4 linked regions of the Callithrix jacchus genome follow. The protein of the gene in region 1 interacts with the protein of each later gene in a biochemical or structural test. Links are inferred from orthologs where the notes say so. Each region holds a gene or a part of one and is shown in the gene's direction. Other genes may lie near its edges. The genes, in order: CDH1, JUP, CCNB1 and CTNND1.

Evidence for each region.
Region 2: the proteins of CDH1 (region 1) and JUP form a complex in vitro, tested with the Homo sapiens proteins (2 studies listed by BioGRID). The link is inferred for Callithrix jacchus from reciprocal best matches to the Homo sapiens genes CDH1 and JUP.
Region 3: of the proteins of CDH1 (region 1) and CCNB1, one has a biochemical effect on the other in vitro, tested with the Homo sapiens proteins (3 studies listed by BioGRID). The link is inferred for Callithrix jacchus from reciprocal best matches to the Homo sapiens genes CDH1 and CCNB1.
Region 4: the proteins of CDH1 (region 1) and CTNND1 form a complex in vitro, tested with the Homo sapiens proteins (5 studies listed by BioGRID and IntAct, with this or other methods). The link is inferred for Callithrix jacchus from reciprocal best matches to the Homo sapiens genes CDH1 and CTNND1.

The regions. Positions count from the first base shown.
Region 1 is NC_133521.1:26,355,373-26,362,689, forward strand, and holds part of CDH1 (cadherin-1), read left to right. Parts: intron 1-2,205; coding exon 2,206-2,430; intron 2,431-3,927; coding exon 3,928-4,155; intron 4,156-7,317.
Region 2 is NC_133506.1:91,453,481-91,461,551, forward strand, and holds the start of JUP (junction plakoglobin), read left to right. Parts: upstream 1-3,525; 5' UTR 3,526-3,595; coding exon 3,596-3,722; exon of another isoform or gene 3,723-4,038; intron 4,039-8,071. UniProt on the Homo sapiens protein: Common junctional plaque protein. The membrane-associated plaques are architectural elements in an important strategic position to influence the arrangement and function of both the cytoskeleton and the cells within the tissue.
Region 3 is NC_133503.1:140,374,216-140,382,317, reverse strand, and holds the start of CCNB1 (G2/mitotic-specific cyclin-B1), read left to right. Parts: upstream 1-3,366; 5' UTR 3,367-3,374; coding exon of another isoform or gene 3,375-3,498; coding exon 3,499-3,519; intron 3,520-4,121; coding exon 4,122-4,292; intron 4,293-4,388; coding exon 4,389-4,547; intron 4,548-7,979; coding exon 7,980-8,102. Other genes in the region: uncharacterized protein LOC118151518, read right to left, coding at 203-267, 3,042-3,158, 3,375-3,500. UniProt on the Homo sapiens protein: Essential for the control of the cell cycle at the G2/M (mitosis) transition.
Region 4 is NC_133511.1:115,316,241-115,324,054, forward strand, and holds the start of CTNND1 (catenin delta-1), read left to right. Parts: upstream 1-2,643; 5' UTR 2,644-2,761; intron 2,762-7,814. Other genes in the region: BTBD18 (BTB/POZ domain-containing protein 18), read right to left, coding at 22-145. UniProt on the Homo sapiens protein: Key regulator of cell-cell adhesion that associates with and regulates the cell adhesion properties of both C-, E- and N-cadherins, being critical for their surface stability.

The DNA.
Region 1 (7,317 bases):
TTCGCCTCCTGGGTTCAAGCAATTCTTCTGCCTCAGCCTCCCAGATAGCTGGGATTGCAGGCACCTGCCAACACACCCAGCTAATTTTTGTATTTTCAGTAGAGACAGGCTTTCATTATGTTGACCAGGCTGGTCTCGAACTCCTGACCTCATGGTCCGCCCATCTTGGCTTCCCAAAGTGCTGGAATTACAATTGTGAACCACTGCACCCGGCCTTGTTTTTCCTTTTATTCTTAAACAAAGGCATTCTTATTATCAAAAAATTCAAATGGGCTGGGCACAGTGGCTCACACCTGTAATCCCAGCACTTTGAGAGGCTGAGGTCTGAGGATCACTAGAGCCCAGGAGTTCAAGACCAGCCTGGGAAACATGGCAAAACCCTAAGGGAAGCAGACAACAATGGTTTACATTCTAGGTCCAAAGCTTAATAGTCGTGTGACCTTGGATTTGCTGTTTAATTTGTGTGTCCCATAATTCCTTTACCTGAAAAGTGATAATACCCATCTGGATGAAATGAACTAGGTGAGGGTCCTTCCAGACTGTTTCTGTGTATTTAAATACATTTATAGACTGGGTGCTAGGCTCACACCTGTAATACCAACACTTTGGGGGTCTGAGGTGGGAGATGGCTTGAGGTCAGGAGTTCAAGACCAGCCTGGGCAACATACTGCCCATAATCTCAAAATGCTGGGATTACAGGTATGAGTTATCATGCCTGGACTCCTTAAGTTAATGTTAAATGACTTGTGCTCATTGTTTAAAAAAAAATTTAGCCAGGCATGGTAGCTCACGCCTGTAATCCCAGCACTTTGGGAGGCTGAGGCAGGTGGATCACCTGAGGTCAGGAGTTCGAGAACAGCCTGACCAACATGGAGAAACTCAGTCTCTACTAAAAGTACAAAATTAGCCTGGCATGGCAGTGCATGCCTATAATTCCAGCTACTTGGGAAGCTGAGGCAGAAGAATTTCTTGAACCCAGGAGGCTTAGAGGTTGCAGTGTGCCGAGATCGCACCGTTACACTCCAGCCTGAGCAATAAGAGTGAAACTCCATCTCAAAAAGAAAAGACATTTTATGTGAGAAAAAAAAGTTTTAAAAATTTACAGTGATGCCATCTAAACATATCTATTTATAGGTTTGAGATGGATTCCTCCATTGTTTTCTTTCCCTGTTGTATACTAATCTTGATGATAGTTCCCTGGATACCAATTTTTCCTACTACCATATGCTTGGTTTTGTGTCAGGATATAAAAGAAATGCAAACAGAAGTGTGGATGGGCTGAGTGCAGTGGCTCACACCTATAATCCCAGTACTTTAGGAGGCCAAGGTAGGAGGATCACTTGAGCCCAGGAGGTCAAGACCAGCCTCGACAACATGGCAAGACCCCCCGACCCCTACAAAAAAGTTTAAAAACTAGCCAAGCATGGTGGCATGCGCCTGTAGTCCCAGCTCCTAGGGAGGCAGAGGTGAGAGATTAGGCCCAGGAGGTAGAGGCTGCAGTAAACTCTGTTCATGCCACCACATTCCAGCCTGGGTGACTGAGTGAGACCCTGCCTTAAGAAAAAAAAGGTTGGGCATGGTGGCTCACGCCTGTAATCCCAGCACTTTGGGAGGCCGAGGTGGGTGAATCACCTGAGGTTCAGCGTTTGAGACCAGCCTGACCAATATGGTGAAACCCTGTCTCTTAAAAAAAAAAGTGTGTATGAATTCCCAAATCTATTTTGAAAACCAATTTGCAGAGACTTAAAAAGACCCAACTTATCCCCTTTGATTTTAAACTTCTAGTGTGGCTTAAAATAAAAATAAAAGACTCAATGCTTTGGTAATGACCTTAAATGGCATGAAAGCGCAGAAAAAGAACTAGGGAGACAGCAAGCAGGCAGTAATGATTTCTTGGAGCTGTTAAAATTCAATGAATGAATAATGGCATGTGAAGAAGGAGGAGGGTGTCCCTGGTATGAGGAATAACTTGAATAATGGTTATCAAGGTGGGAATAAGCTTGTCTATGTAAAACGGTCAGAGGCCTGCCCACCTGGGAATGGAGGTGCCCTGGGATTGGTAGGATGGGAGGTTCTGGGGATGGAGTGGGGCCTGGTGAGGGACGACTGAAGAGCTAGGACAAGATCTGGATTGGGTCTGGTAGAAGGCAGTGGGGATCCATGACTGTTTCTGAGCTGTAACATTTCCTCTGTATTTTCTCTTAGGTTCTCCAGTTGCTACTGGAACAGGGACGCTTCTGCTGATCCTGTCTGATGTGAATGACAATGCCCCCATACCAGAACCCCGAAATTTGTACTTCTGCGAGAGGAATCCAGAGCCTCAAGTCATCAACATCATTGATGCAGACCTTCCTCCCAATACATCTCCCTTCACGGCAGAACTAACACATGGGGCGAGTGCCAACTGGACCATTGAGTACAATGACCCAAGCGAGTACCTGAGCTTTATTTTGGCAACTGTGCTGTGACTGCCATGCTTTCCTTCCCCCAGATCCCCACCTCTCAGTTTCTCTTCTCAACTTCCAAATGCCACCCCTTCTGTTGATACTTGTTTCCTTGTTCATTCTGTCTTTGAGGCCTTACTCCAAAGGTCTCTTTCCTTTCTTGGTATCTAGCTTTGTAGCATGCTACCCAGTAATATAAAACCCAAGCAGGGCTCCCTCTCCCAGCCTCTAACCACCCTCCAATCTCCTCTCCACTTGCAATCTCCGGGACTGTCTTCTCTGCCACCTCCCGCTCCTGGGACGAAACAAGGCCATTTTTGTGGTTAGCTCCTTCTTGCCGATGAACCATGAACTCCCAGATTGTCAGAACTATTCCACCGAGGTGGAGGCAGCTGTCGACTGCCTGGTCAATTTGCATCTGTGGGCCTCCTACATCAACCTCTCTCTGGGCTTCTATTTCCACTGTGATGATGTGGCTCTGGAAGGCGTGGGCCACTTATTCCACAAATTGGCCAAGGAGAAACGCAAGGGTGCTGAGTATGTCTTGAAATAAACGCAAAACCAGTGTGGTGGCCATGCTGTCCTCTAGAACATCCAGAAGCCATGTCAAGATGAATGGGGTAGGCTGGGCACAGTGGTTCACATGTGTAATCCCAGCACTTTGGGAGGCCTAGGTGGGTGGATCATGAGGTTGGGAGTTCGAGAACAGCCTGGCCAAGATGGTGAAACCCCTCTCTACTAAAAATACAAAAATTAGCTGGGAGTGGTGGTGTATGCTTGTAATCCCAGTTACTCAGGAGGCTGATGCAGAAGAATCACTTGAACCTGGGAGGCGGAGGTTGCAGTGTGCAGAGATCATGCCATTACACTCCAGCCTGGGTTACAAAGTGAGACTCTGCCTCCAAAAAAAAAAAAAGATGAATGGGGTAAAACCCTGGACACAATGGAAGTCGCTCTGGCCCTAAAGAAGAACCTGAACCGAGCCTTTTGGATCTTCATGCCCTGGGTTTCATCCACACAGACCTCCATCTCTGTGACTTCCTGGAGAGCCACTTCCTTGATGAAGAAGTGAAACTCATCAGGAAGATAGGTGACCCCCTGACCAACCTCTGCAGTCTGGCCATTCCCCAGCCCAGGCTGGGAGAGTACCTCTTTGAAAGGTTCACCCTAAGGCACAACCAGGAGCCTACTGAGCCCAGCAAATCTGAAGAGCCACTCTCTGCCTGAGTCTCTCCCTCCAGCCACTAGTCAGCTTTTTAACCTGCCCTAGAGCCCTCTACCAAGCCTTAGACCAAATGGAAATAAAGCTTTTTACAGCCAAAAAAAAAAGAGTAGATACCTAACTAAAACCCAAGCAGCTCTGCTCTCTTTGCTCGGCTTGCAAATGTCTTTAGGTCACTAACAATTTTATTGTGGAACGAGCTTTTTTCCCTCTCTCTCTCTCCCTCCTGGTCTCATCATTTCTTTTTATTGCTTCCCCCAGCCCAAGAATCTCTCATTTTGAAGCCAAAGATATACTTAGAGGTGGGTGAGTACAAAATCAATCTCAAGCTCATGGATAACCAGAATAAAGACCAAGTGACCACCTTAGAGGTTCACGTATGTGACTGTGAAGGGACCGCCAACGTCTGTCGAAAGGCACAGTATGTCGAAGCAGGATTGCAAGTTCCTGCCATCCTGGGGATTCTTGGAGGAATTCTTGCTTTGCTAAGTAAGTCCAGCTGGCAAGTGGCTCAGCCTTTGACTTAAAAAAAATGGAGGAGGGGCCGGGCGCGGTGGCTCAAGCCTGTAATCCCAGCACTTTGGGAGGCCGAGGCGGGTGGATCACGAGGTCAAGAGATCGAGACCATCCTGGTCAACATGGTGAAACCCCGTCTCTACTAAAAATTACAAAAAATTAGCTGGGCATGGTGGCGCGTGCCTGTAATCCCAGCTACTCAGGAGGCTGAGGCAGGAGAATTGCCTGAACCCAGGGGGCGGAGGTTGCGGTGAGCCGAGATTGCGCCATTGCACTCCAGCCTGGGTAACAAGAGCGAAACTCCGTCTCAAAAAAAAAAAAAAAAAAAAAATGGAGGAGGTTTATTTCCTGCAAATGATATTTGTTCTTATATTAGTTAGGGTATGGTTTTTAGCCAATATAGGAAAGGGACTTCCAGGCTATGCTGGCCTACATTGAATAGAAGTTTGTCTCTTACCAAATGGTTTGGAGGTAAATGGTCTAAGATGGGAGGGAGGGCAACCCTGTGCCATGAAGTCAATAGGGGACCCAGGTTTCTTCTATCATGTTTATTTTCATCCTTCAAGTCAGTACATCCCAAGCTTGAGTGCATGCAAATCACATGGGCCTCTTAGTAAACTGGGAAATCTGATCCAGGAGGTCTGGTGTGGGGCCACAGATTCCACATTTCTAACCAGCTCCCAGGGGGTGCTGATGTTGCAGTTCCTTAGACCATAGGCAGAGTAGCAAGACCTTGGGGGCTGCCCCAGCATGGTCTAGGCTAGCCAGCTCACCACCACCACCACCTCTATATTCCATCCTAGAAGGGGGAAGGGGATGAGAGAGGAAGTGGAGGCCACACGACTGGAGGCAATGTCACCTCCGCTTATATACCATTGGCCCAAACAGAGCCACACCTAGCTGCAAGGGAGCCTGGAAGCTTCTACTTGCAATTGAAAATTGCCATGGAGTAGGGATGGGTGTAGGGTGAGCAATGAGTGAGTGTCAATGACTAAAAGGATAAAGGAGAAAAAGGATGCTGAGGAAAATTGGCAGATTCTGCCATAGTCCTTAAACCTGTTTCCCTTGGAGCCCACCTGCAGTGACCCCTCAGGGTGACACAGGTGCTGTTATGGTCAAGGCGAATTCTTTTGTCATTCACACACAGAAAATACTGAATCTATTAAAGGAATAAGTTAGTTATGAAAACAGATTATGTGCATCATATGACAAAGTATCCATATGGAGAACACTACATCAGAACTCTGGTAGGGCTTTAAATATGTGAATGATAGAAGAGCAAGCGAATGATTCTCAATGCAAGTGATAGCAAGTCACTTAGAAACCTTTGACCAGGTATGGTGGCTCACACTTTGGGAGGCCAAGGTGGGAGGATTGCTTAAAGCCAGGAGTTTGACACCAGCTTGGGCAACAAAGCAAGACCCTGTCTCTACAAGATAAAAATGAAAAATATATTTTTTTAATTTAAAAAAAAATTTTTAAAGAAATGTTTAAAGATCATATGTAATTAGTGACCATAAGGGGTGGTCCAGCTCATAAATGCCTTTGTAGTCACTGTAGTCAGAAAAGGCTGTGAATTGAGCCTCGTGGAAGGTGGAAGTGGTTAGGCCACAGGTGCTGGTAGAATTCCAATGGGTAGATGGATATTCAGGAAGGTTCCTCTCCTAGCAAAGCACAGCAGAGGCTTGAGTAGACTCCTTGGAGGGCAGAGACCAGGCCAAGCTGATGGGAATGGAAAAAGATTTTTGCAGGGAGCAGTGGGACCAAATTGAGGGCTTTCAATTTAGGTTGGGAATGGGTGCCATTGATCTTGCTGCTGCTGCTTCAGTGGACTCCGGGAAAGGGTGCCTTTCAATGTTCCGGAAATGTTTGCTGGGCATCCCATTTACTTCTGCCCCTTCCTGCTGGTGTCCTCCCGAAGTCGAAGAGAAGGATAGTGGCTGTTGAGAATCGAGCAAGCTTTCTGGACTTTTATTCTGCCAGGCTTTACATGGCTTTATTGTGCCATGAGATTAGGTTAATTCATCATTGTCTTACGCACGGTAACATAAGCCCTGCCAGCCCACTTCGTAATCAAATTACATTTGAGTGGCCTGCTCTGCTTTTGGGATAGTGATTACTGACTAGTATATTCATTCTAAGGGGATTTTTTCCTTTTTTTTGGCAAGGTCTCGCCCTGTGGCCCAGGCTGTAGTGCAGTGGAGTAATCTCAGCTCACTGCAGCCTTGACTTCCAGGGTTCAGGTGATCCTCCCACCTCAGCCCCCTGGGTGGCTGGGACCACAGGCCTGAGCCACCACACCCAGCTAATTTTTTGTATTTTTTTGTAGAAACAGGGTTTCCTCATGTTGCCTGGGCTGGTCTCAAACTCTTGGGCTCAACCAGTCCTCCTGCCTTGGCTTCCCAAAGTGTTGGGATGACTGGCATGAGACACTGTGCCCAGCAAGGGAATCTTAAAGATTGTAGTTATACTTGAAATATTTTTTTTTAATAGGATTATCTAAATTTGCTATGGGTATGTATTTTTTTATACACTAGGAGTGGGGATTCCCATGTAGAACAACATTTAAAACAGAGGCAGTGCCAGAACTCAGATGTTCAATTTCTTGTATTTTTACTTTTTTTTTTAATGGAGTCTTGCTCTGTCACCCAGGATGGAGTGCAATGGCTCCATCTCGGCTCACTGCAACCTCCGCCTCCCAGGTTCAAGCAATTATCCTGCCTCAGCCTCCTGAGTAGCTGGCATTACAGGTGCATGCCACCACGCCTGGCTAATTTTTGTATTTTTAGTAGAGACAGGGTTTCACTCAGTTGGCTGGTATGGTCTCTATCTCTTGACCTTGTGATCTGCCTGACTTGGCCTCCCAAAGTGCTGGGATTACAAGTGTGAGTCACTGCGTCTGGCCTGTATTTTTATTTTTATGATTTTTTTCTTTCTTTATTAGAGATGGGTTCTCATAATATTACTCACACTGGTCTCGAACTCTTGAACTCAAGTGATCCTCCCACTTTGGCCTCCCAAAGTGCTGTGATTACAGGTGTGAGCCACTGCACCTGGCCAATTTCTTGTTTCTTAAGGGCAAAGATGTGCTAGAGGCCAGGCGTGGTGGCTCATGCCTGTAATTTCAACACTTTG
Region 2 (8,071 bases), on another chromosome or scaffold:
TGAAGAGAATCACTTGATCTGGGAGGAGGGACTCAGCTCTAATCCCAGTCTTTGCTGCTGCTGTGGTAGTGCCTCCACCAGTCCCAACCTGTGTGTTTAGCTCTGGGGCTGGTGTGTTGCAACATGTTCTGGGGACACACACACACACACACACACACACACACAGCGCAGGCTTTATTCTGAAGCGTTACTTCTGCTCCTCCACCCACATGGGCTCCTCCACCCCTCTCTGCAGTCAACCAGCCCTACCCTGCCTGTTTGCTGAGGTCAGGAGAAATGGGAAGGAGTTAGGCCAGGCTTGGGGCCGGGAAGTATGTTTGTGTGCCTGTGTGGAAATGGGAAGGTGGGAGATGGGCAGGAGGGGGAAGAAATGAAACCCCGGCAGCTTCAGCAGTTCAGGATTGTGAGCCCTTTCTCTCCCCAGCTGTGGCCTGGCCACAGCTCTATGTGACAGGGTGACAAGCAGGTGGATGGGGCAGGGGTAAGGCAGGGATAAAGATAGGGAGGTAAGCTAGAGGAGGGGAAGTTGGGGAAACAAGCAAAGGGCAGTGGCTCTGGGTATGGGATGGCCACTAGTCCAGGGATGTCCATATGTCCCTGGCCCTGCTCTTGGATGGCGTGACTTCAGAAGGGAGAATATTCAGCTGCCAGTCCTTTCTCCAGTGGGGAAAATGGTCAAGGATGCTGCTAAGGTACCTTCATCCAGCCCATCCTGTGTGCTAGCTTTGAGGCTGTAGAGCTTTGTTGATGGGGGACCCTTTTCTTTTCTTTCTTTCCCCCCCCGCCCCGAGATGGAGTTTCGCTCTTGTTTACCCAGGCGGGAGTGCAATGGCGCGATCTCAGCTCACCGCAACCTCCGCCTTCTGGGTTCAGGCAATTCTCCTGCCTCAGCCTCCCGAGTAGCTGGGATTACAGGCGTGAGCCACCGCGCCCGGCCCAAATGGGGGACCCTTTTCTAAACCACCATTCCCCCAGCACCCACCCACAGGCTCCTTCTGCATATCATTCTATGAGCTCAGTGAAGGTTGAGATTTTTATTTTCTGTGTCACCAGGTTTTACTTTCTGTATTCACCAGTGCCTAACATACAGTTGACACTCAATACTCAAGTGCTGAATGAAGGAATGTTTGTAGGGCCCTTGACACACCATACAGCCACCAGCAGCATAAGCAGGATTCACATCATCAACTACAGAAAGGAAGTGTCCTTGTCTTCTTAAGCTGCCTATGAGAAGTTCTTATTTTTTTGAGACAGAGTCTCACTCTGTCACCAGGTTAGAGTGCAATGGCATGATCTTGGCTCATTGCAACCTCTGCCTCCTGGGTTCAAGCGATTCTCCTGCCTCAGCCTCCTGAGTAGCTGGGATTATAGATGCCCACTGCCACACCGGGCTAATTTTTGTATTTTTAGCAGAGACAGTGTTTCACCATGTTGGCCAGGCTGGTCTCGAACTCCTGACCTCAGGTGATCTGCTTGTGTCTGCCTCCCAAATGCTGGGATTACAGGTGCCCACCACCATCCTGGCTAATTTTTGTATTTTTAATAGAGACAGGGTTTCACCACACTGCCCAGGCTGGTCTCAAACTCCTGACCTCAAGTGATCTGCCCACCTTGGCCTCCCAAAGTGCTAGGATTACAGGCACAAACCACCACACCTGGCTGAGAAATTCTTTCTGATCTCTACTCCAGGCTCTCCCACCGTGGAGGGGTATGCTGCCCAGTTTCTTTTTTCCTTGGTTTGAGATGGAGCCTTGCTCTGTCATGCCCAGGCTAGAGTGCAGTGGCAGGATCTTGGCTCACTGCAACCTTTGCCTCCCAAGTTCAAGCAATTCTCCTGCCTCTGCCTCCCAAGCAACTGGGATTACAGGTGCCTGCCACCATGAAAGCCTAACTTCTATTTTTAGTAGAGACGGGGTTTCACCATATTGGCCAGGCTGGTCTCAAACTCTCGACCTCAGGTGATCCACCCGCCTCGGCTTCCCAATGTGCTGGGATTACAGGCGTGAGCCAGTGCACCCCGCCTGCCCTGTTTCTTTCATGCTAGGGCTGGATTTCCTTCAGATCTGCAGCTTGATGTTTCCAAGCCCACCAAAGCCTCCTGACACCAATACTGTATTTTTGGGCCAAGCAGTTGTTCTATCTCACCTCCAATTTTTCTATCTTGTCTCTATCTTGTGCCTTTTCTCTGCCCCTTCCCCACTGCCTTGACATTTTATGTCTATGCTCTTCTTCCATGAGGGGAACAGCTGATTTGGTGGTCCTTCAAATGAGAGGAAGGTGGTTCTAGCTTGGGGTGTGTCACTTTGTAGTTTTGTGATTTCTCTGAACCTCGGTTTCTTCATCTTTACGATGAGGATCATTTTCTAGTCCTATTTTTCAGAGCTGTCACGAGAATTAAAAAAGAAAAACGAAAACAAAAAACCCATACCATTAATTTAAATTCTAATCTTTATCAGTTTCTGAGTGCTTCCACAAACCTGACTTCATTTAATCCCCACATACTCCAGTGAGGTAGATATGGCTAATGTACCCAGTTTACAGATGAGGAGAAACAGCGGGAAGGGTGAAGTAACTTGTCTAAGGTCATAGTAAGCGGCAAAACACAAACCCTGGCCTTCTAATTCTGAATCCCAGAAGTACTCCATCTTTGGGGAAAAAAATCCCAACCCAGCACAAAGCCTATGAAATGCCATACAAATATGTTATTACCACTTTGGGGCAAGGATGAATAAGCCCAAAGAAGCATCATGCCTGACGCTGAGTTGGCTGGCTGGTGAAGGCGTCTGTCCCTTCCCTTGGTATCCCCTGACTTACCTGTTGGACAGGTAGGGGGAAGGGGAGAGTAGTGAGTCTCACCTGCTCAGAGCAAGGGTGGGGCAAGACACACCCCATACCTTCCATTGGTTTTTTTCCTTAGTCTTACTGACAGTCCCTTGCCCAATCAGGAGAAAGTAACTTTCTATCTGCCAATTGGTGAAGTGTTAGGATGAGATCTCAAGTTAGAGTCCATCCCTAGAGCCGACTGGCAGTCCCTGGGGCCAATGGCAAGCGGATAAACAGAGGCGGCCGTGGAGAAGGACTGGACGCGAGGCTCCACCCCTTGACGGGACAGTCAGGCGAGACAGCCAGTGAGCTCGCATCAGCGGGTGGGCGTCTCCCCCAGGGGCGGAGTTTCGAGGTGGCGAGGGGCGTGGCTTGGCTGTCAGGTCTCTTCGCCTTTTGTTCGGTTACTGAGTTGCTGCCTTGGCCAGAGTCCGGAGCAGCCGCCGCCCGAGCGCGCCGAGTTCAGTTCGCTGTCCGCGCCGGCTCCCACCCCGGCCCGATTTCTACCCGGCCGGCCAGGCCCCAGACTCAGGTGCGGGCGATCGAGGACAGGTATCGATGGGGAGAGAAGGGGTGGCGAGCGGCCGCGGGGCCGGTCCCAGCAGTCTCTGGGCAGGTGAGGGCGGGTGCCATGGAGCGCCACCCTGCACTGGCAGCAGGGGGCGCGCTGGGGTCCTGGGCGCGGCGACTGGGGGGGCGCGCGGTTCGGGCCGAGCGCGCTTAGGAGCTCCGCGAGCGGGAGATCTGAGCAGGGCGGGAGGGCTCCGGGCAGATGCCTCGGGGGTCGCGCCCCTCCCGGGGCCCGCACAGCTCGCCCGACGCCGCGTCCCTGACTCTCGTCCTGAGCTGGAGGGGGAGACTTTGCCCTGCTTTGACTGCGTCCCAGGGCTCTCGCTGCAGTCAGTAATTTACCGTTTGGGAAACTTGCTGCCGCTGGTCTCTTTGGGGCCACCCTCACCCCACCCCACGCGTCATCCTCGCTTTCCCTCCCTCTCTACTCCCCCAGGCCTGGGTGGGGCCCTATTGTCTGCGCCCAGCTTGCCCAACTGTGGGGGCCGAGCGCACATTTTCCCAGTGACGCTGGCCCCACCTGCCGAGCAGGTGAGCGCACGGAGTCCAGAGGCCCAGCCCTCCAGCTCCCGGAGCCTCGTCGATACTACCTGCGGCGCCTCCCTCCACTCCAGTGGGTGCCCGGCTCTGGCTTCTCCAGCAGAGGTGGGATGGAGTGACAGTGGGGGCTGGTGCACGGCTCGGCCCAGTGTCCAGCTGGTGTTTGGCACCCGTGGCTCGGTCTGGGGGGAGGGGTCTGTGCACGAGTGAAGCATTCAGGGTCACCTGGCCCAGTTTCCAGTAGCTGTGGCTGCCAGAGTGTTGGTAGGGGAACAGGAATCGTCTTCTTTTCTAACCTCTTATTGTTGGAAAAATCACCCAAAACAAACTTTGCAGGAGGAAGTATTCACAGCAGCGTTCTCTGGGGGTTTTCCCGTCTCCTTGCCCAGAACTTCCTTTAGGCTTAGGAGGTCCTTCTTGGTGCAAAGTCCCCTCCCCCAGCCGGCCCCCGGCTGAACCTGGGCCTTTGCCTGCGCTCTGACCCTGGCTTCCCTGCCCCCACATCCATCCTGTTAGCTGCGCCCCAGGGGCCTGAGGTGGGGGCCGGGGTGGGGTGGGTGGAAAGGGCCGAGAGGGGAAGCAGCTTCTTCCTTCTCTTTCTCTTCCTGCCTCCGGGGACCACCACACCCCCTCAGACATGGCCTGCGTGAGTGGCTCTTTCTCAAGCTCTGCCCCCTCCCCAGGAATGGGGGTGGGGCAGGGCTGGGCCAAGCTAGGAAGGTGGGGGGAATGGATGTTCTTGTCTTTTTTTTTTCTCTACCCCATCCCCCACATTACTTAGCTGGCTGGTAATTGAGGCAGAAGAGCATGAGGCTGTGGGGCTTGCCTTCCATTTGATTTCTGAATTATGAAGGTGCATGCTTTCTGGAGGCCTGGGCAGACCTTTCCTATCCCCTTTCCTGAAAGAATTTGACAGGGAAAGTGAGACTGGAGAAAGGCTTTTGGAGGGGAAGGTTTCTTCAATGTTAGACTCCCTCAGGAGAGGTGAATGCCCCCCCCCACCGCCCCCACCTCCTTCCCTACTCCCAATTTCCTGAGACCCCGCCTCCAGAATTGGGGGTCGTCACCAGGCTTTCTACCCTGGTTTTAAAAAGTCCTAAGTGCGGTCATTTTGCAGGATTTGGAGCCCAGCCTTGGGAACAGAGAGGGAATATAAGAGTTGGGTTCTCTCTCAGTCCTGGGGGTGGGAGAAAGATTGCAGAACTGGGGATCGAGAGTGCTTGGAGGGGAAGAGCCTGCCACCTCTTTCTTTGCTGTAGATGGGGGATTGAGGCTGGGGGGCCAGACTCAGCCCCTTTGTCCTGGGTGGGGATCATGCACAGCCCTGGACCAGGGGGAAGCCAGTGTGGGAACTCAGATCCTTTTCTGCTGGGGAAAGGGGTGCTGCCTGCCTCTGGGGAGCAACAGGGCACGGAGTTTGGGCAAAAATAACCTGCTTTCCCTCTTCTCCGTGCCAAGGTGGAGGAGGGGAGGGCATTGTAATTGTGTTGGCTAAATGATTAGTTTAGCTAATCTGGTTTGTGGCTATGATGAAAAGATACTACTGAGGAAGTACTGCTAGGAGATGCCTGGTGAAAACTGGCCACTGACTGGACTGGGGGCGCGGGGGAGGAGGAGAAGATAGGATCCAGTTAGTCATTTCTTGCTAGATGGAGCCCAGCTTGGGTGACTTGAGCCCTCCCGAACCCACTCCACCCCTCCCCTGCACCCTGGCTCCACCCCATTCCCTCTGGAACTTCTGTTTGGAATGCCAGGGCTGAGGCTTTGAGAATTCAGTGCATAGGAACAAGAAAAGACAGGCTAGGGCTGCCAGCCTTTTTCCCTTCCTGGAGCCACTTTAGGATGAGATCGGTCCATTGACTAGTCTACAGAAGGACTGTTTATTTGGAGAGATGGGATGGTGGGGCAGTTCTGAGCACAGGGCTTTGGGCTTGAACTGAGCTGGGTTTGAGACCCACCTCTGTCCCTCATTCCATTACCTGAGCCTCAGTGACCTCTTTGTCAAAATGGGAATACTAATACCTATCTGCCCTGTAAGTACTTGACAAATGGTAACTCAAGATCAAGGTAAGACTTTACAGAAACCAAGCACTTTCATTAGCTAGTCTCACTTCAAACTTAAGGCTGCCCAGGCTCGATGGCTCAAACCTGTAATCCCAGCACTTTAGGAGGCCCAGAGGGGCAGGTTGCTTGAGCCCAGGAGTTCCAGACCAGCCTGGGCAACATGGCAAAACCCTGTCTCTACAAAAAATAGAAAAATTAACTGGGCATGGTGGTGCAAGCCTGTGGTCCCGGCTACTGGGAAGGCTGAGGTGGGAGTATTACCTGAGTCCAGGGAGCTCAAGGCTGCAGTGAGCTGTGTCACCGTACTCCAGCCTGGGCTACAGAGTGAGCCTCTGTCTCAGAAAAAAAGAAGCGGGTATCATTATCCCCATTCTACAGATGAGGAAATTGAAACTCAGGGAACTTAAGTAATTTGCCCAGGGTCGTACAGTGAGACCCAAGCAGCACCAAGACTGGCATTTGGGCCCTGATTCCAAGCCCAGAACCCATCCTGCCGTATTGCCTCATGTAGCTCTGAAAAGGATTTTTTTTTCTTGAGATGGAATCCGCTCTGTCACCAGTCTGAAGTGCAGTTGTGCAATCTCGGCTCACTGCAACCTCCACCTCCCGGGTTCAAGTGACTGTCCTGCCTCAGCCTCCCAAGTAGCAGGGATTATAGGCTCGGGCCACCATGGCTGGCTAATTTTTTGTATTTTTAGTAGAGACAGGGTTTTGCCACGTTGGGCAGGCTGGTCTCGAACTCCTGGCCTCAGGTGATCCATCTGCCTCAGCTTCCCAAAGTGCTGGGATTACAGGTGTGAGTGGAAGTTTCTGCACTCCCTTTTGAGAGCCTCTGGCTGAGAAGAGAATAAAGAATGTGGCTGGTGAATGTAGGGCAGGTTTGGTAGGCACGAGTGATACCTGTCCCGGCCAGCAGCCCTCTGAAACCTCCCCAGTGGCTTGATCTTTAGTTCCCAGTGGAGGAGGCTTCTCCGTAAGGCAGGGCTGTGGTGAGTGTTGGGAGGAGGTTGAGCAGGAAACAGGAGGCCGGGGTCAAAGCTGTGCTGCCTCCTAGCTTGACTTAGGTAGAACCATGGGTGTTTTGGGCTTGTCCCTGTGTAAGAGGTGGGAGTTGCCTGCTTTGCTGGAGGCTGGGGTTGTGCCAAGATAACGGGGTGCTGCTCTGTGGGGAGTGGAGAGAAACGGGAGTCTGATTTAGGCCTGGGCTAATGCCCTGCTGGAGTGGGCCAGGCAGTGCTGCCAGGCTGCTCTTGACGGGGAACTGGCTGTCCTCTGCTCTGGAGCCCAAGAGACCTGAGATAGGCAGCTGCCGGGAGGGCCTTTCTGGTGATGGAGGTAGGGGGCATGCGTGCTGCCTGTCAGCCAGAGCCTTGGCCCTCTAGGGAGGAGCTGGTGTCAGATTGTCCTCCAGACCTGCCTGGTTCTGGCGTTGCTGCCAGCTGGACATCTGACACCAGAATGGGCGTGGATTTGGGGTCTGGGAAATGGGTTCTCTTTATGTGATGGTGCAGCCGGAGTACCAAGCTTGCCACTACCATTCTGCATCCCATGAGGGCAGGTGGGGACCCTGGGCCTGGGGATGATTGATTGTGGAGAAGGCTAATGGGACTTGAGACAGAGGAAAAGAGAATGCACCCTGTCCTGCTGACTGACTGCTACCGAGAGGGCATGAGGTTGCAGGTTTCCGCCTCCCCTGAGGACATGAGAGCTACAGCACGATGCTCTTACAGAAGGGACGAAGCCTAGATGGGAGGAAGGGCTTTCTGCCTTCTACAGACAGATCTTGAGTTGAGGGGTAAGAGGGAGAGGCGGAGGCGCAGCATTGACTCTTCTCTGATGAGGGCCGTCCTGTCTGGCAGGGAGGCCAGGCAGGAATCACCGCCCTTTGGGGAGACTCCTTATCTTGAATCTTTTGCGGGAAGAGCAGCCTGGCAGTGAGAGGGAGAAGCATCTGTGAGCTGGCCCCATGACCCCTGTGAAGAGGAAAAGCAGTGTGGCTGGGCAGGCCACCAGGGCTTGTGTTCCGCAAGTGACACTGAGAGGCCTCTCCTGGGACGTGGTTGAATCTGTGGAC
Region 3 (8,102 bases), on another chromosome or scaffold:
CCTAAAACCAAAAAGTTCCTGGGGTTCCTGACTCAATTACCTGAGTTCTGACAAATGTGTATATAATGGGTCAAAACGTGAGCTTAAATTGAGAAGCCTGAGCCCATAGCTGTATTCTCAGTAATAGCAACAACTAAGACTAACCTTTTGAAGCTTTTTCTTTTTTTCCTTTTTCTTGCTCTTCAGGAGTTTGACAACATACCTTTGAAGCTTTGTGATGTTTCTCCCAGAAGACAATTTTGGATCTGTCACTTGCTTCTGGAGCATCTAGGCAAATATAAGGAGAAAAAGTCAGACGTCTCTTGTGGTTGACAAAACTTAATGGCTGTAGTTGATTTTCAGCAAGTATGGCAGACAATCCTGTCTATAATTATACTACAGTAATACTACAATTATACTACAATAATAATAATAAAATGGAGGAAGCAGAGAATCCTCTGTTAAAGTATACTAAATATTAATTCAGAAAAAGTATACTAAATATCAATTCAGAAGGATTTAGTCAATAAGAACATAATACAGGCCCAGTGCAGTGGCTCATGCCTGTCATCCCAACACTTTGGGAGGCCAATGCAAGAGGCTTTCTTGAGAGCCAGAATTCAAGACCAGGATGGGAAACATAGCAAGACTTCATCTCTGCAAAAACACGAACACAATATGGATCAACTGTGAGAGTATTGACAATTGCCAGTTCCCTTAATTTTTTTTTTTTTTTTTTTTGAGACAGAGTCTTAAAAGTCTAAGGCTGGGTACAGTGGCTCACACCTGTAATCCCAGCACTTTGGGAGGCCAAGGCAGATGGATCATCAGCTCAGGAGTTCAAGACCAGCCTGGCCAACATGACGAAACCCTGTCTCTACAAAAATACAAAAAAATTAGCTGAGTATGGTGGTATGTGCCTGTAGTCCCAGCTACTTGGGAGGCTGAAGCAGGAGAATTGCTTGAACCTGGCAGGTGGAGGCTGCAGTGAGCCAAGATCACACCATTGCACCACTCCAGCATGGGTGAGTGAGATTCTGTCTCCAAAAGAAAAAAGAAAAGGAAAGAAACCATTCTGAAAAGACTACACATGACTACATATTGTATGATCTCAATATGACATTCTGGAAAGGACAAAACTATAGAGGCACTAAAAAGATCAGTGGTTGCAAGGGTCTAAAAGGAGAGAGGCTTGAATAGGTGGAGCCTAGGGGACTTTTAGGATAGTGAAACTTCTTTTCTTCTTCTTCTTCTTTTTTTTTTTGAGATGGAGTCTTGCTCTGTCGCCCAGGCAGGAGTGCAGTGGTGCAAACTCAGCTCACTGCAACCTCCACCTCCTGGGCTCAAGCCATCCTCCTGCCTCAGCCTCTTGAGTAGCTGGGACTACAGGTGCCCACCACCATGCCCAGCTGATTTCCTGACGGGGTTTCACCATGTTGGCCAGGCTGGTCTTGAACTCCTGGGCTCAATCCACCTGCCTCAGTCTTCCAAAGTGCTAGGATTACAGGCATGAGCCACCTTGCCTGGCCAGGATAATGAAACTTCTGTATGATACTACAATGTTAGATATGTCATCAATGTCATTATATATTTGTCAAAACCCATAGAACACACAATACCAAGAGTGAACCTTAATGTAAACTATGGGCTTTGGGTAATAATGTGGTGTCAATGTAGGTTAACAGATTATAATAAAAGTTCAACTCTAACGTGGGATGTCAATAGTGGGGAAGGCGGTGAAATGCTCTATATTTTCTATTCAATTTTGCTGTGAACCTAAAAGTTCTCTAAAAAAATAAAGCATATAAAAGTAAAAATTATTTTTAAAACTGGAACACAGAGAGGACTGATCAATCCCAGAAAGACTGAGGATGGATGTTGAACACAGAACTGAAGGATGAATGGGAATTAGCTAGATAGAACCCAGGGGCTTGAGGGCAAGATGAGGCAGGCACTCCAGGAAAAGGTAAGGGCCCCCTGGCCGGCATCCAAGTAGGAGGGGAGAACTATGATGACAGAAGACTGAATAACGATCAACGAAACCAAATGATTGAGTGCCTTCTTCTGGATCCTTGACTTCCAGAGCCAGGAGTCTCTATTGGCTCTTAGACCATTGCTCTATGAAATATCAATCTTTTTGTCCTCTAGCCTCTCCTCCAGTTGCTGAGCTCCTGGTGTGTTTTGAGGGGTAGAAGGCAAAAAGGACCCTCTTGTTTTTCTTTGGATCCAGAGAGAAATTGAGCAAATGACAAAGCAAATGGGATTAAATGTATTTTATTTTGTTTTTCCTGATCTTCTCATGAGAGGCAAATACAGGTTAAGGATGGGTGAATCTGTGTAAAGGATATAGAAATGTTCCTTACAAGATTTTTGTTGGCAACTGGTCTAAGTATGATATTATTTCCAAATAGAAAGCTAAAACAAACAAAACAATTGGCCTTGGGAAACTGGCCAGTCTTGAAGTAATCAAGTAAGTAGAAGCTGGGAGGTGACTTTTTAAATTATTATTATTTTTTTTATTTGAGACAGAGTCTCACTCTGTCGCCCAGCTTGGAGTGCAGTGGCGCGATCTCAGCTCACTGCAACCCCCACCTCCTGGGTTCAAGCTATTCTCCTGTCTCAGCCTCCCGAGTAGCTGAGACTATGGGAAACTGCCACCATGCCCGGCTAATATTTGCATTTTTAGTAAAGACAAGGTTTCACTGTGTTAGCCAGGATGGTCTCAATCTCCTGACCTCATGATTGGAAGGTGACATTCTTAAGGGACAACCAGTGTTGCAAAAATAATACGAATACCCATCCTCCCTCCCCTCAAAAAACCCCTAAATTCAGTTCTTCGCTTGCTAATGTGTGATCCTGGCAAAGTCATCTAAGCCGCTGAGCTTCAGTTCCTCCACTCCATAGAGTTGTTGCAACTATCAAATGAAAGAACGTATATCAAAGCCTTTCATGAACTATATTATTGCTGCTACCGTAGAAATGGAAAGTGTGTAACAATAATTTGGACTAGATCCAAAACTACTTTGGACACTTCTGAGACTGTGGCCGCGCGCCACTGTCACCTTCCAAAGGCCACCAGGCTTTCCCAGATCTGGCACGGGCAGCGCACCCCCCCCCGCGCCCCCGCTTTCCAGGTAGGCGGCGCACGCGTTGCTAGGCTCTCCAGGTGACCGCGGCAGCTGCCCGAGAGCGCAGGCGCGGAGGCAGACAACGTGAGAACCTGGCCACGCCTTCCGGCCTTAGCGTCACTCTGACCCCGCCCCTCTCGAATGCAATCTCGGGATCGCCCTGGAAACGCATTCTCCGGGAGCGGCAGCCGCCAATGGGAAGTTAGCGAGTGCCACGAACAGGCCAATAAGGAGGGAGCAGTGCGGGGTTTAAACTTTAGGTTAGGCCGGCTCTTCCCGGCCTGCTGCGGAGGAACGGTTGTTGGTTTCTGGTGGGTTCAGGTCCTCGGCTGGTCGGGACTCCGGTGTTCTGCTTCTTTCCGCTGAGCTGCTGCCTGGTGAAGAGGAAGCCATGGCGCTCCGAGTCACCAGGGTGAGCCGTTGCGGACTGCGAACTAACGCGGCCTTCCTCGCAGCTGCCTGCTGGAGCCCCCCGAGCGGGAGAGGGCTTCAGGAGAGATTTGGGGAGGAAGGTGGGAGGGGAGTCACCAAGAGAACCGAGGTGGGCCCAGGCCTGGTGGGGGGTGTGGGGGACGATGGACGGAGGGAGGAAGGTGAGAAAGAGACCTGGACGGACATTGGATAAATGTTTGGGGGAGGTGGAGAGTCTAGGAACCTTTTGAAAAAGTTATGGAGGGTTCCTGAGTGGGCCCGCCAGCAACTGCGTAACCCACTTTCCAGAGAGATGGAATCAGCAACTGGAGGCTTTTTCGGTTTCCTTTCAAATGTAAATTCTCAGTATTTTAGGGCTGGCGAGGACTAATTAGGAAATCCCTCTATCGGTAAATGTAGAGGTTCTCGGTGGAAATTGACTTGTCACGGCCGCAGAGTACACTCTGGGACCCACGTTTTCCCTTGGAACCCATATTTAGTCGGCTTTCCTTCTGGGAACCTCTCTTGTGCCCCACCTTAATTAACCCTTGACTTACTCGAGCTTCCGTGGACCAGCTCTTAAAGTAGTCTTGCTTCTTTCAGAACTCGAAAATAAATGCTGAAAATACGACGAAGATCAGTATGGCAGGCGCAAAGCGCGTGCCTATGGCCCCTGCTGCAACCTCCAAGCCCGGACTGAGGCCAAGAACAGCTCTTGGGGACATTGGTAACAAAGTCAGTGAACAGCTACAGACCAAAATGCCTATGAAAAAGGTAGCCCTCTTCCTGACCTAACTAATGTAAGAGCCCGCCTTCCAGCTGTGGTCCTTGATGCAGAAATATTCCATTCTCTCTGTTTCATCTACACAGGAGGGAAAACCTTCAGCTACTGGAAAAGTTATTGCTAAAAAACTACCAAAACCTCTGGAAAAGGTACCTATGCTGGGGCCAGTGCCGGTGTCCCAGCCAGTGCCAGAGCCAGAACCTGAGCCTGTTAAAGAAGAAAAACTTTCGCCTGAGCCTATTTTGGTAAACTTATTCTTAACATTGTAGAGTCTTGTTATTTCTTCTGTCCCTTATTTCACTGACACATGCAAGAACATTCAAATAAATAGTAATATTAATATCATTTATTGAGTGCCTAGCATGAGGCAAGCTCTGCCTAACATTTTACATGCAGTAACTCACGTAATCTTTACATGTACTCTCTGAGGTAGATATTATCACCTCTACTATTTAGGTCATGGCTTTAGAAAGGTTATGTCAGGATCACACAGGTAAGTGGCTCATATGGGATTCAAGCTCAGGCTGTCTGACTTCAGAATCTATGCTTTTGTTACGACTTTCTTATATTACTTTCTTTGTTAATGATATTAAGTAGTAGCTGCCTGAACCAAAGGTTTTATTGTCCAAGAACAAGCTATCTCGCAGAATTTATCCTCATAAACATAGAATATTCTCTTGAATTTTTTTTTTTTTTTTTTTGAGACAGGATTTCACCATGTTGGTCAGGCTGGTCTTGAACTCCTGGCTTCAGGTGATCCGCCCGCCTCAACCTCCCAAACTGCTGGGATTACAGGCGTGAGCCACAGTGCCCGGCCTGAATTTTTTTTTTTAACTGCCTAATATGGCTACTAAATAATAAGCCCGTAACATTGGAATATGTAAATGAATAAAACAGGAAGAATGCAACTCTTCAGGGAGTGGTTAAGAAGATGAATTAACATTTAGCCTCAAAGAAAAAAAAATGTTATAACAGGATGTTTTAGAAAAGAAAAAAAGATTTAGGCTCAAGACCAATAACTTTATATTAAATATCAAATGTGTAAAGGTGTCCTATCCTGTGAAGGAAAGGTAGGTCATGTAGAGGAGGATGCTTTGAAATTGCAATGAACTGCATTTTGAAGCTCTGTTTGTTTTAAACTTAGTTAAAACCAGTTAAGAAAATTACCTGAAAAAAAATTTTTTTTTAAGATAGGGTTTTACCATATTGGTCAGGCTGGTCTCGAACTCCTGAGCTCAGGTGATCCGCCCACCTCAGCCTCCCAAAGTGCTGGGATTACAGGCATGAGCCACCACGCCTGGCTTGGAAAAAAATTTTTTTGAGACGGCAGTCTCACTCTGTTGCCCAGGCTGGAGTGCAGTGGCACAATCTCGGCTCATTGCAACCTCTTTCTCCCAAGTTCAAGCAATTTTCCTGCCTCAGCCTCCCAAGTAGCTGGGATTACAGGCACACGGCACCATGCCCAGCTAATTTTTTGTATTTTTAGTAGAGACAGGGTTTTACCATGTTGACCAGGGTAGTCTTGATCTCTTGACCTCGTGATCCACCTGCCTCGGCCTCCCAAAGTGCGTGAGCCACCGTGCCCAGCCAGTTTTTGTATTTTTAGTAGAGATGGGGTTTCACCATGTTGGCCAGGCTAGTCTTGAACTCCTGACCTCAAGTGATCCACCCACCTTGGCCTCCCAAAGTGCTGGGATTACAGGCGTGAGCCACCATTTAGCTTGAGCCTGGCCAGTTTAGCTTCTTATATCTAAGGATAAAAGATTGAAAGATATTGCTTTAGTGTTGAATTTCTGGTCATAGTACATGAAACATGTAGCCAGCACAGTCTAACTGGGCATATCAAACTACATGAGGCTTTCTTGAAAGGCCCATATTGATTCTTACCTTTGCTTTCCCACTTAGTAAGGATGCCTTCCCCACCCTGTCTTTCATTTAGCTAATAACCTTTTCATCCTTGAAAACAGCTCAAGCATCAACTCCTGAAGCTTTCCCTAACTTCCCCCATCTCCACCCCTGTTCCTAGAATCCATCTTTTTTTTTTTTTGAGTTGGAATCTCAGTCTGTTGCCTAGGCTAAAGTCCAGTGGCGCGATCTCAGCTCACCGCAACCTCCGTCTCCCAATCTCAGCTCACCGCAACCTCCGTCTCCCAGGTTCAAGCGATTCTCCTGCCTCAGCTTCCCGTGTAGCTGGGACTACAGGCACGTGCCACCATGCCCAGCTAATTTTTTGCATTTTTAGTAAAGGCAGGCTTTCTTTTTTTTTTTTTTTTAAGGGATGGGGTTTCACCATGTTGGTCAGGCTGGTCTCAAACTCCTCAGGTGATCCACCTGCCCCGGCCTCCGAAAGTGCTGGGATTACAGGGATGAGCCACCACCCCCAGACTCAGTCTTATTTTGAGAAGGAGTTTCACTCTTGTTGCCCAGGCTGGAATACAATGGTGTGATCTTGGTTCACTGCAACTTCCACCTCCCGGGTTCAAGCAATTATCCTGCCTCAGCCTCCCAAGTAGCTGTGATTACAGGCATGTGCCACCACACCCGGCTAATTTTTGTATTTTTAGTAGAGACAGAGTTTCTCCATGTTGGTCAGGTTGGCCTCAAACTCCCAACCTCATATGATCCGCCCTCACTTTGAGAAGCCATGAGCCACTGTGCCCAGCCAGTCTTATTTCTTTACTTAACTTTGTCTATTAAATTAAGAGCCCTTGAGGATGCAATGAAGTCAATGCCTTGCAGAGTTTGACTTGAAGAAGGCGCTTAATACATTTTTGAACAGTGGGATAAAGGGAGTTCAAAGGAAATGGTTAATGGTGATGGAGTTAGTTAATCTTTACTAGTCAGGACAGAATTTGTGTTCTTTTGAGTAGTGAGAAGCAGTTTATATTTTGAAATAAAGACTAAAGACTGAATTATCATTTATTTGGATTAACTTCACATTTTGCTCATAAAGATTAATTAATTCTCAGTTTCCTTTGGAGGGAAGTCTAGATGTGAATTCATTGGCTTCCAACTTTAAACTGACTTTAAGTTGGCATTTCACTCTTTTTTTTTTTTTGCCCAGGCTGGAGTAGAGTGGTGTAGTCATAGCTCGCTGTATCCTCAAACTCCTGGGCTCAAGTGATCTCCTGCTTTGGCCTCCTGAGTAGCTAGGACTACAGGCAACTGCCTTCACCCTGATGCCCATATAATTTAAACATTTTGTTGTAGAGATGAGTTCTTGCAATGTGGCCCAGGCTAGTCTGGAACTCTGGTCTCAAAGTATCCTCCCACCTCAGCCACCAAAATTACTGGGATTACAGGCTTGAGCCACTATACCCGACCTCATTCTTTTTATTTGAGCAATTAAATGAAGACTTTTTTTTTTTTTTTTTTTTGACAGAGACAGGGTCTTGCTATATTGCCCAGGCTGGTCTTGAACTCCTAGCCTCAACCTCAGCTTCTCAAAGTGCTGGGATTAAAGATGTGAGCCACTGCACCCAACCCAAATGATCTCTTTTGATGTTACTCACTTTCTAAAAAGAAATGGAATAAATCTGAAAAGATACTTTCCTTTCAGGAAATAATTTGTATGTCATTTCAGCAGAATACTATCTAAAGTTGAAACCAATAAACTGACCTTAACTATAGTGCTTACTCCTATTTGCTATTGTTTCAAGAGATCTCTTTGTTTCAAGGTTGACACTCCCTCTCTAAGCCCAATGGAAACATCTGGATGTGCCCCTGCAGAAGAAGACCTATGTCAGGCTTTCTCTGATGTAATTCTTGCAGTAAATGATGTGGATGCAGAAGATGGAGTG
Region 4 (7,814 bases), on another chromosome or scaffold:
GAATTCCCACCAGTCTCTTACCTTCTGCCTGCAGAAGGACATCACAGAACACACCACTCTGCTGCTGGTTATGAAGCTGCAGAAAAGCTAACCTGAGGAACCGAGGGTTCCTGTATAGGATTTTGGGACTGGCAGGAGAGTACATGTTGGCAGACTCTTAACCTTCTAGGTTTTCACAAGTCAGACTCCTGTAGGTGAGATAAGACATTTCAGAGGCACGGTTATATGTAATTTGTTTTTTGTCTTTTAAATGGCAGGGGAAATTTGAAAGTAAGAGAAAATGGTATCTATTATAATATAGTTGAGGAAACCAGCCCAGAAATTGTGCCAAGGATATCTCAAGAAAGAACATTATCAGAGTGGTTACATGTGGGAGCTCAGAGATAAACCTAGGCTTGGGTCTTGGCTCTATTTATTAGCCTGGCTGTATAATCTCACACAGGTGACCTAATTTCTCTTGAGTCTCACTTTCCTATCCATGAAATGGGAATAATAGTACTTACCTTGTAGGGTTGTTAAACAATAAATGAGTCAATGAAGGTAAAATTGCTTAGCACAGTAAGTGCCTGGCACAAAATAACTACCATGTCCTAAATGGTACAGCTATTATTATCCTTCAGGCTTCCTCATTTCCATTACCACTGAGACTCAACTGCTACAATGCTGACTACTCGTATTCTTCCTGAGCACCACATCCCAGCTCCATGGGTATCATCTTCAATTTAACACTTTTAAGGAAACAATAGTGGGTATAAAATCATGTCTAATAAGTTGTATGCACCTTCTTCTTTTCTCTGAGCTCACTCTATCACACCAGCAGAGGGTGCACAATAAAGAAGGGAAGCCTCTGACTCTGCCAGAAGGTCTCTCACAGAACCACGGCTGGGTGTACTTGACCAAAGCGAGCCTGACTGACCCTCGCAGTAGGCAAAGAATTTGGCCTTTAGGTTTGTATAGTTAATTACCAGGCTACCAATGGAGCAAGGAGAGTTAAGCATTTTCCCCCTTCCAAAACAAACTGAGTATTCTGACTTAAGGCTTATGTCCAGCTTTTTTTTTGAGACGGAGTTTCGCTCCTTACCCAGGCTGGAGTGCAATGGTGCAATCTCAGCTCACCGCAACCTCCACCTCCTGGGTTCAGGCAATTCTCCTGCCTCAGCCTCCTGAGTAGCTGGGATTACAGGCACGCGCCACCATGCCCAGCTAATTTTTTGTATTCTTAGTAGAAACGGTTTCACCATGTTGACCAGGATGGTCTCGATCTCTTGACGTCATGATCCACCCGCCTCGGCCTCCCAAAGTGCTGAGATTACAGGCTTGAGCCACCGCGCCCGGCCCATGTCCAGCTTTTTAGCACCGAAACCCCCACACTCACTGCACAGCTGTGTTCCTTTCCTGGAATGCCGTTTTCTATCAGGTGGCACTGAGGGTCCGAACAATTCACGTCAAAACTATCAGGAAAGAAGAGTGAAAAGGTAAATTAAGACAAGACAGCCTCCGGCTTGGCGCGGTGGCTCATGCCTGTAATCCCAGCACTTTGAGAGGCCGAGGCGGACGGATAACCTGAGGTTAGGAGTTTGAGACCAGCCTGGCCAACGTGGTGAAACCCCATCTCTACAAAAACGCAAAAATCAGCCCGACATGGTGGCACGCGCCTGTAATCGCAGCTATTCAGGCGGCTGAGGCAGGAGAATCGCTTGAACCTGGAAGGCGGAGGTTGCAGTGAGCCGAGATAGAACCATTGCACTCCAGCCTGAGACTCTCACTCTCACACACACTCCCTCTCGCTCGCTCTTTCACACACACACACACACACACACACACACACACACACACACTGTATACAGGCTCAATTCCAGAAGACAGATGTGGATGAAAAAGAGAAGGCAGGCTCAATCAATCCCCATCCCAGTAAGAGAGATGGGGATGGAGGATGGCAGCTCTTGCAAGGGCCCTGGGGAAGCTTCCCATCCACGAGCGCCCGGCCTTGCCCCGAGACCCAACCTGGAATAGCTTTGCAGTCCTTTGCTCCTGTTGTCCGCCCTGTGCTTGTCCTCTGTCCAGTCTGCTTTGCTTCCTCAGTGTCCAAGCTTGAGTCCAAAGGCTGAGCAAAGAAGCACAGGTGGGCCAGTAGCTGAGTGCTTCACCTCCCTGTCCAGAAGCAAGGGAATCGGTGTTGGCGGAGAAAACAGGACTTCAGGCAGAGCCCTGCACAGCGGGGTGCCCCGCACGCTTGGACGCCCTGGCCCAACTCCTTTGAAGAAAGACTTCTAGGCGCGAGGGATTCTGGGAATGCAGTGTGGGGATCCCGGAGGCCCAAATTCAGGACTTCCCGTTACGGCCACCTCCGACAGCACCGGCTTTGCAGGCGGCCCTTGGCGCTCTTGTATCTCTGCGGGCTCCGCACCCACATGCACCGAGTGGTGGTGATAGCGAGGGTTGTGGGGCCAAGCGGCCAGCGGCACACACCTCGTGCCACCACCCTCGCTCCCGGCGCGTCGCTGAGCCCGACGCCCCTCCTCCTCCCGAGCCCTCGGGCCTACGTCCCCCGGAATACGTCATCCCCATTGGCCGAAGGCTTCGGGGAGAACCAATCAGAGCAGAAGGAGCGCTTTGGGCGGGAGTCTAACTCTCGAGGGACTTGAGGGCTGAGGGAAGATGGCTGGGCTGCAAGAGGCGGGGGGAAAGGCCCGCCGGGGAGGAATTCTTGTGGAAGCCGTCGTCTCCCTCAGCACTCGATGAAGACACACCGAAAAAGAGGGTAGGGATGCTGTAGCAAAGCAGGCACCAATGCGGTTACAGGGCATGTCTGTCTTCCCCTTGAAGAGGCAGCAGATGGCCTTGGCCCTGCTGGGAACCCTCCAGGCTTCGTGGAGGAAGTCTCTGGATGGCTTTGCTAACACCGGATCTCCCACTTCGCTAACCTAGCTATCTCCTATAACTGGAGATGTTCTGGAATAAGGTCCTTGGGCAGTATCTGAATTCAGTTTCTTCACCCCCAAATCTTGGAGAACTAGTGACCCAGGGGTTTTGCAGAAATTCCCCCCGGAATGATCTGCATTATCCTTACAGAGACGATTTTTTAAAAAATAATCTCCATTATCATTACAGAGACGATTAAAAAAATGCATTAGGCTGGCGTGGTGGCTGACGCCTGTAATCCCAACATTTTGAGAGGCGGAGGCGGGTGGATCGCCAGGTCAGGAGTTAAAGACCAGCCTGGCCAACATAGTGAAACCCCATCTCTACTAAAAATACAAAAAATTAGCCAGGCCTGGTGGCTTGCGCCTGTAAGCCAAGCTACTTGGGAGGCTGAGGCAGGAGAATCGTTTGAACCTGGGAGGCGGAGGTTGCAGTGAGCTGAGATCGCACCACTGCACTCCAGCCTGGGCAACAGAGCGAGACTCAGTCTCAGGAAAAAACAACAACAACAGTTAATTAATATTGCCCAGGCTGTGGTGCGATCTCAGCTCACTGCAGCCTCGACCTCTGGAGCTCCAGCAATCCTTCCATCTCAGCCTTCTGAATAGCTGGGACTACAAGTGAGTGCCACCACGTCTGGCTGATTTTCTTTCTTTCTTTATTCTTTCCTTTTAATTTTTTGATGGAGTTTGGCTCTTGTCACCCAGGCTGGAGTGTAGTGGTACCATCTCTGCTCGCTGCAACTTCCACCTCCGTGTTCGAGTGATCCTCCTGCTTCAGCCTCTCAAGTAACTGGTATTACAGGCGCCTGCCACCATACCCAGCTAATTTTTGTATTTTTAGTAGAGATGGGGTTTCACCATGTTGGCCAGGCTGGTCACAAACTCCTGACCTCAGGTGATCAACCCACCTTGGCCTCCCAAAGTGCTGGGATTAGAGGCGTGAGCCACCGTGCTCAGACTGATATTCTTTTTATTCTTCTTTTTTCCTCCCCTCCCTCCTTCCCTTCTCCTTCCTTCCTTCCTTCTTCCCTTCCTCACCCCCTCCTTTCTCTTATTCTCTTTTTTCTTTCCTTCCTTCCCTCCTTCCTTCCTTCCTCTTTTTCTTCTTTCTCTCTGCCTCTTTTCTTTCCTTTTTTCTTCTTTCCTTTTTCTTTCTCTCCTTTCTCTCTCTCTTTTTCTTTCTCTCCCCTTCTTTCTCTTTCTCTCTTTCTTTCTCATTCTCTCTTTCTGTTTCTTCTTTTCTTTTTTAAAATAGAGATAGGGTATCCCTATGTTGCCCAGGCTGGCCTCAAACTCCTGGGCTCAATTGATCCTCCCACCTCATTCTCCCAAAGTACTGGGATTACAGGCATGAGCTACTGAGCCTGGCCCAATTTATTTAGCCCAGTTTCTGACTGGAGTTAGCTGTTTTCAGGGATATTAAAAATTAAATTAGCTCAAGTTTTTTTTTTTTTTTTTTTTTTTTTTGAGACAGAGCCTTGCTCTGTTGCCCAGGCTGGTGTGCAGTGGCATGACCTTGACTCACTGTAACCTCTGGCTCCTGGGTTTAAGCAATTCTCAAGCCTCAGCCTCCCAAGAAGCTGGGATTACAGGCACTTGCCACCACGCCTGGCTAATTTTTGTATATATTTTTTAATTTTTATATTTTTAGTAGAGACACGGTTTCACCATGTTGGTCAGGCTGGTCTCAAACTCCTGACCTCAGGTGATCTGCCTGCCTCAGCTTCCCAAAGTGCTGGGATTACAGATGTGAGCCACTATGCCTGGCCTAATTATCTCAAGATTAAATGTTTACAGAGAATGCCAACCCATGGTATAATTATGGACAGCAGTTTTTTCTTTCCCCTGTGTGTGTTAGGACCTGGGCCCTGGCTTCAGTTATTGCCCTCATTAGATGCTCTGTGATGTCCAGTTCTGGACAAGAATAGCTGAATCTAAAGCCACTGGTGACAAAGTACAGTGAATTGAAATGGACCAGCTCCTGCCGAGGCCAACTGGAGGTAGAAAGGAAGAAAGATGCTAAGAGAAGGGCAATGTGCAAAGGGACAAAACGTTGAGGTCACACCAAATGTCCTTATTGATATCTAACACCCTTTCAAAAAGGATTTGAGGTTGTTGACTGAAATTGTGGTGTGGGGAATGCATTTCCAAGTCAGGTACTATTTCCCCTAGACTGAGGCTGCTGGTGTTGAGGTGGAGAAAGAAACAAGGAACAGAAAACATTTTTGGTTGATGTTGTCTGACTTTGAAGAAGAAGCAGTTTGTGAAAGGACATAAAAATTAGCAGAAGGAGGAAAGATTTTAGATGTTGGCAGCAGCAGCAACAATAGCACAACAAACACACACAAGTAAACAAGCAAAGAAAACAAAAGAGAAGGCAGAACAACCCTTGTTTATGGCATCTGTTACCATAGAATCAGGACTTGATTGGGCAGGTAGAGTAGCAGTATAGATGATTCTGTGGAGATGTAAGGTAATTATAAATGTATATATTCTCATTAATATATTGCCATCAGGATTAAATTAATTTTCAAGAAGTGGAGAGGACTTCTTATTTTTTCAATCTAACATCATTTTAGTTAAATCTTGTGTTGGTAGAATTTTTTAAGATTGGACAGGTCATGGTGGCTCATGCCTATAATCCCAGCCCTTAGGGAGGCTCAGGCAGGCAGATCACTTGAGCCCAGGAGCTCTAGACCAGCCTGGCCAACATGGCAAAACCCCGTCTCTACTAACAATAAAAAAATTAGCCAGGCATGGTGGTGAATGCCTATAATCTCAGCTACCTGGGAGAATGAGGCAGGAGAATTGCGTGAGCTCAGTAGGCAGAGGTTGCAGTGAGCTGACATCATAACACTACACTCCAGTCTGAGTGACAGAGCAAGACTCTGTCTCAAAAAAAAAAAAGAAAAAAAAAGAACTTCTAAAGGGATTGGTAAATGGCTATCATATACAGGGCTTCAAAAATGACAAACTTCGGATTGTAATATGTAACCACCAGAGGGTAGAAAGGAGTAAAAATATTTTGTTTTTCTTTTTATGGATAAGCAGTGGGTTTTTTTTCTTTTTCTTTTTATGTAACATTTGGATAGCAAGCAGAAGGGTTTTTGAAGTTGAATTTTTAAAATTTCTTCTCCTTGGCATTTATAGTTTTAGTCTATTTTATTTTACTTTATTATTTATTTATTTGTTTGTTTATTTATTTATTTTTGAGACAGAGTCTCATTCTGCCGCCCAGGCTGGAGTGCAGGCTTGATCTTGGCTTACTGCAACCTCCGCCTCCTGGGTTCAAGGAATTCTCCTATCTTATCTTCCCGAGTAGCTGGGACTACAGGTGCATGCCACCAAACCTGGCTAATTTTTGTATTTTTAGTAGAGACAGGGTTTCACCATATTGGTCAGGCTGGTATGGAACTCCTGACCTCAGTTGATCCACCTGCCTTAGCCTCCCAAAGTGCTGGGATTATAGGCATGAGCCACCTCCCCCAGGCTTATTTTATTTTTGAGACAAGATGTCACTTTGTCACCTAGGCTGGAGTGCAGTGGCACAAACACAGCTAACTGCAGCCTTGAACTCCTGGGCTTAAGCAATCCTCCTACCTCAGCCCCCCAAATTAGCTGGGACCACAGGTATGCACCACCATTCCCAGCTAATTTTTTTTTTAAGTTTTTTTTGTAGAGATGAGGGTCTTGCAGTGTTTCTTGAACTTGGCTTGTCTTGAACTCCTGGCTTTAAATGATCCTCCTGCCTTGGCCTCCAAAATGCTGGGATTACAGGCATCAGTCACTGTACCTGGCTGTTTTAGTTTATTTTAGAACTAGAATAATCATGGCACAGAACTCTGCCCTATATAATAATTTTAATATTTTAAACACACTTTTTTTCCCTGCCTTTCTTGGCTTTTTCCTAATCTTTCACCATTTTATGGTATTGTTTTTCTTTGTTTGTATGTGGTAATGTAGATGGGGACGTTAAACTTTGAGGGCTGTAAATCTGAGCATGGAGTGTAATATTCCATGTATCAAAACAAAACAAAAAAAAGAAAAAGAAAAAATACATAAAACAATCCTGTATGTGTAAAACGTATCTTCTTATCTACTGATAGAAGTCCATCTATTGATGGGTTCATGCCTGTAATTGCAGCACTTTGCGAGGCCAAGGCAATCGGATCACTTGAGGTCAGGAGTTTGAGACTAGCCTAGCCAACATGGCGAAACCCAGTCTCTCTCTACTGAATATACAAAAATTAGCCAGGTGTGGTGGTGCATGCCTGTAATTCCAGCTACTGGGGAGACACTTAAGCCCAGGAAGAGGAGGTTACAATCAACTGAGATGGTAAAAAAATAAACTGGCTGGGCGAGTTGGCTCATGCCTGTAATCCTAGCACTTCGGGAGGCTGAGGTAGGCAGATCACAAGATCAGGAGTTTAAAACCAACATGGCCAATGTAGTGAAACCCCATCTTTACTAAAAATACAAAAATTAGCTGGGCATGGTGGCATGCACCTGTAGTCCCAGCTACTTGGGAGGCTGACTGAGGCAGGAGAATTGCCTGAACCCAGGAGGTGGAGGTTGTGGTGAGCTGAGATCGCACCACTGCACTCCAGCCTGCGCAACAAAGCGAGACTCTGTCTCAAAAAAAAAAAATTAATTAACTAACTAAATAAATAAATAAACTTGTTTTGCTTTCACTCTTACCCCTCTTTAATCTATTTTTGCATAAATCTCAGACCATTTCTTTCTCTTTTTTATTTGAGATATGGTTGTGCTCTGTTATCATGGCTGCAGCCTGGAACTCCTGGGCTCAAGTAATCCTCCCGCCTTAGCCTTCTGAGTAGCTAGAACCACAGGCTCATGCCACCACACCCAGCTAATTATTTTTATTTTATT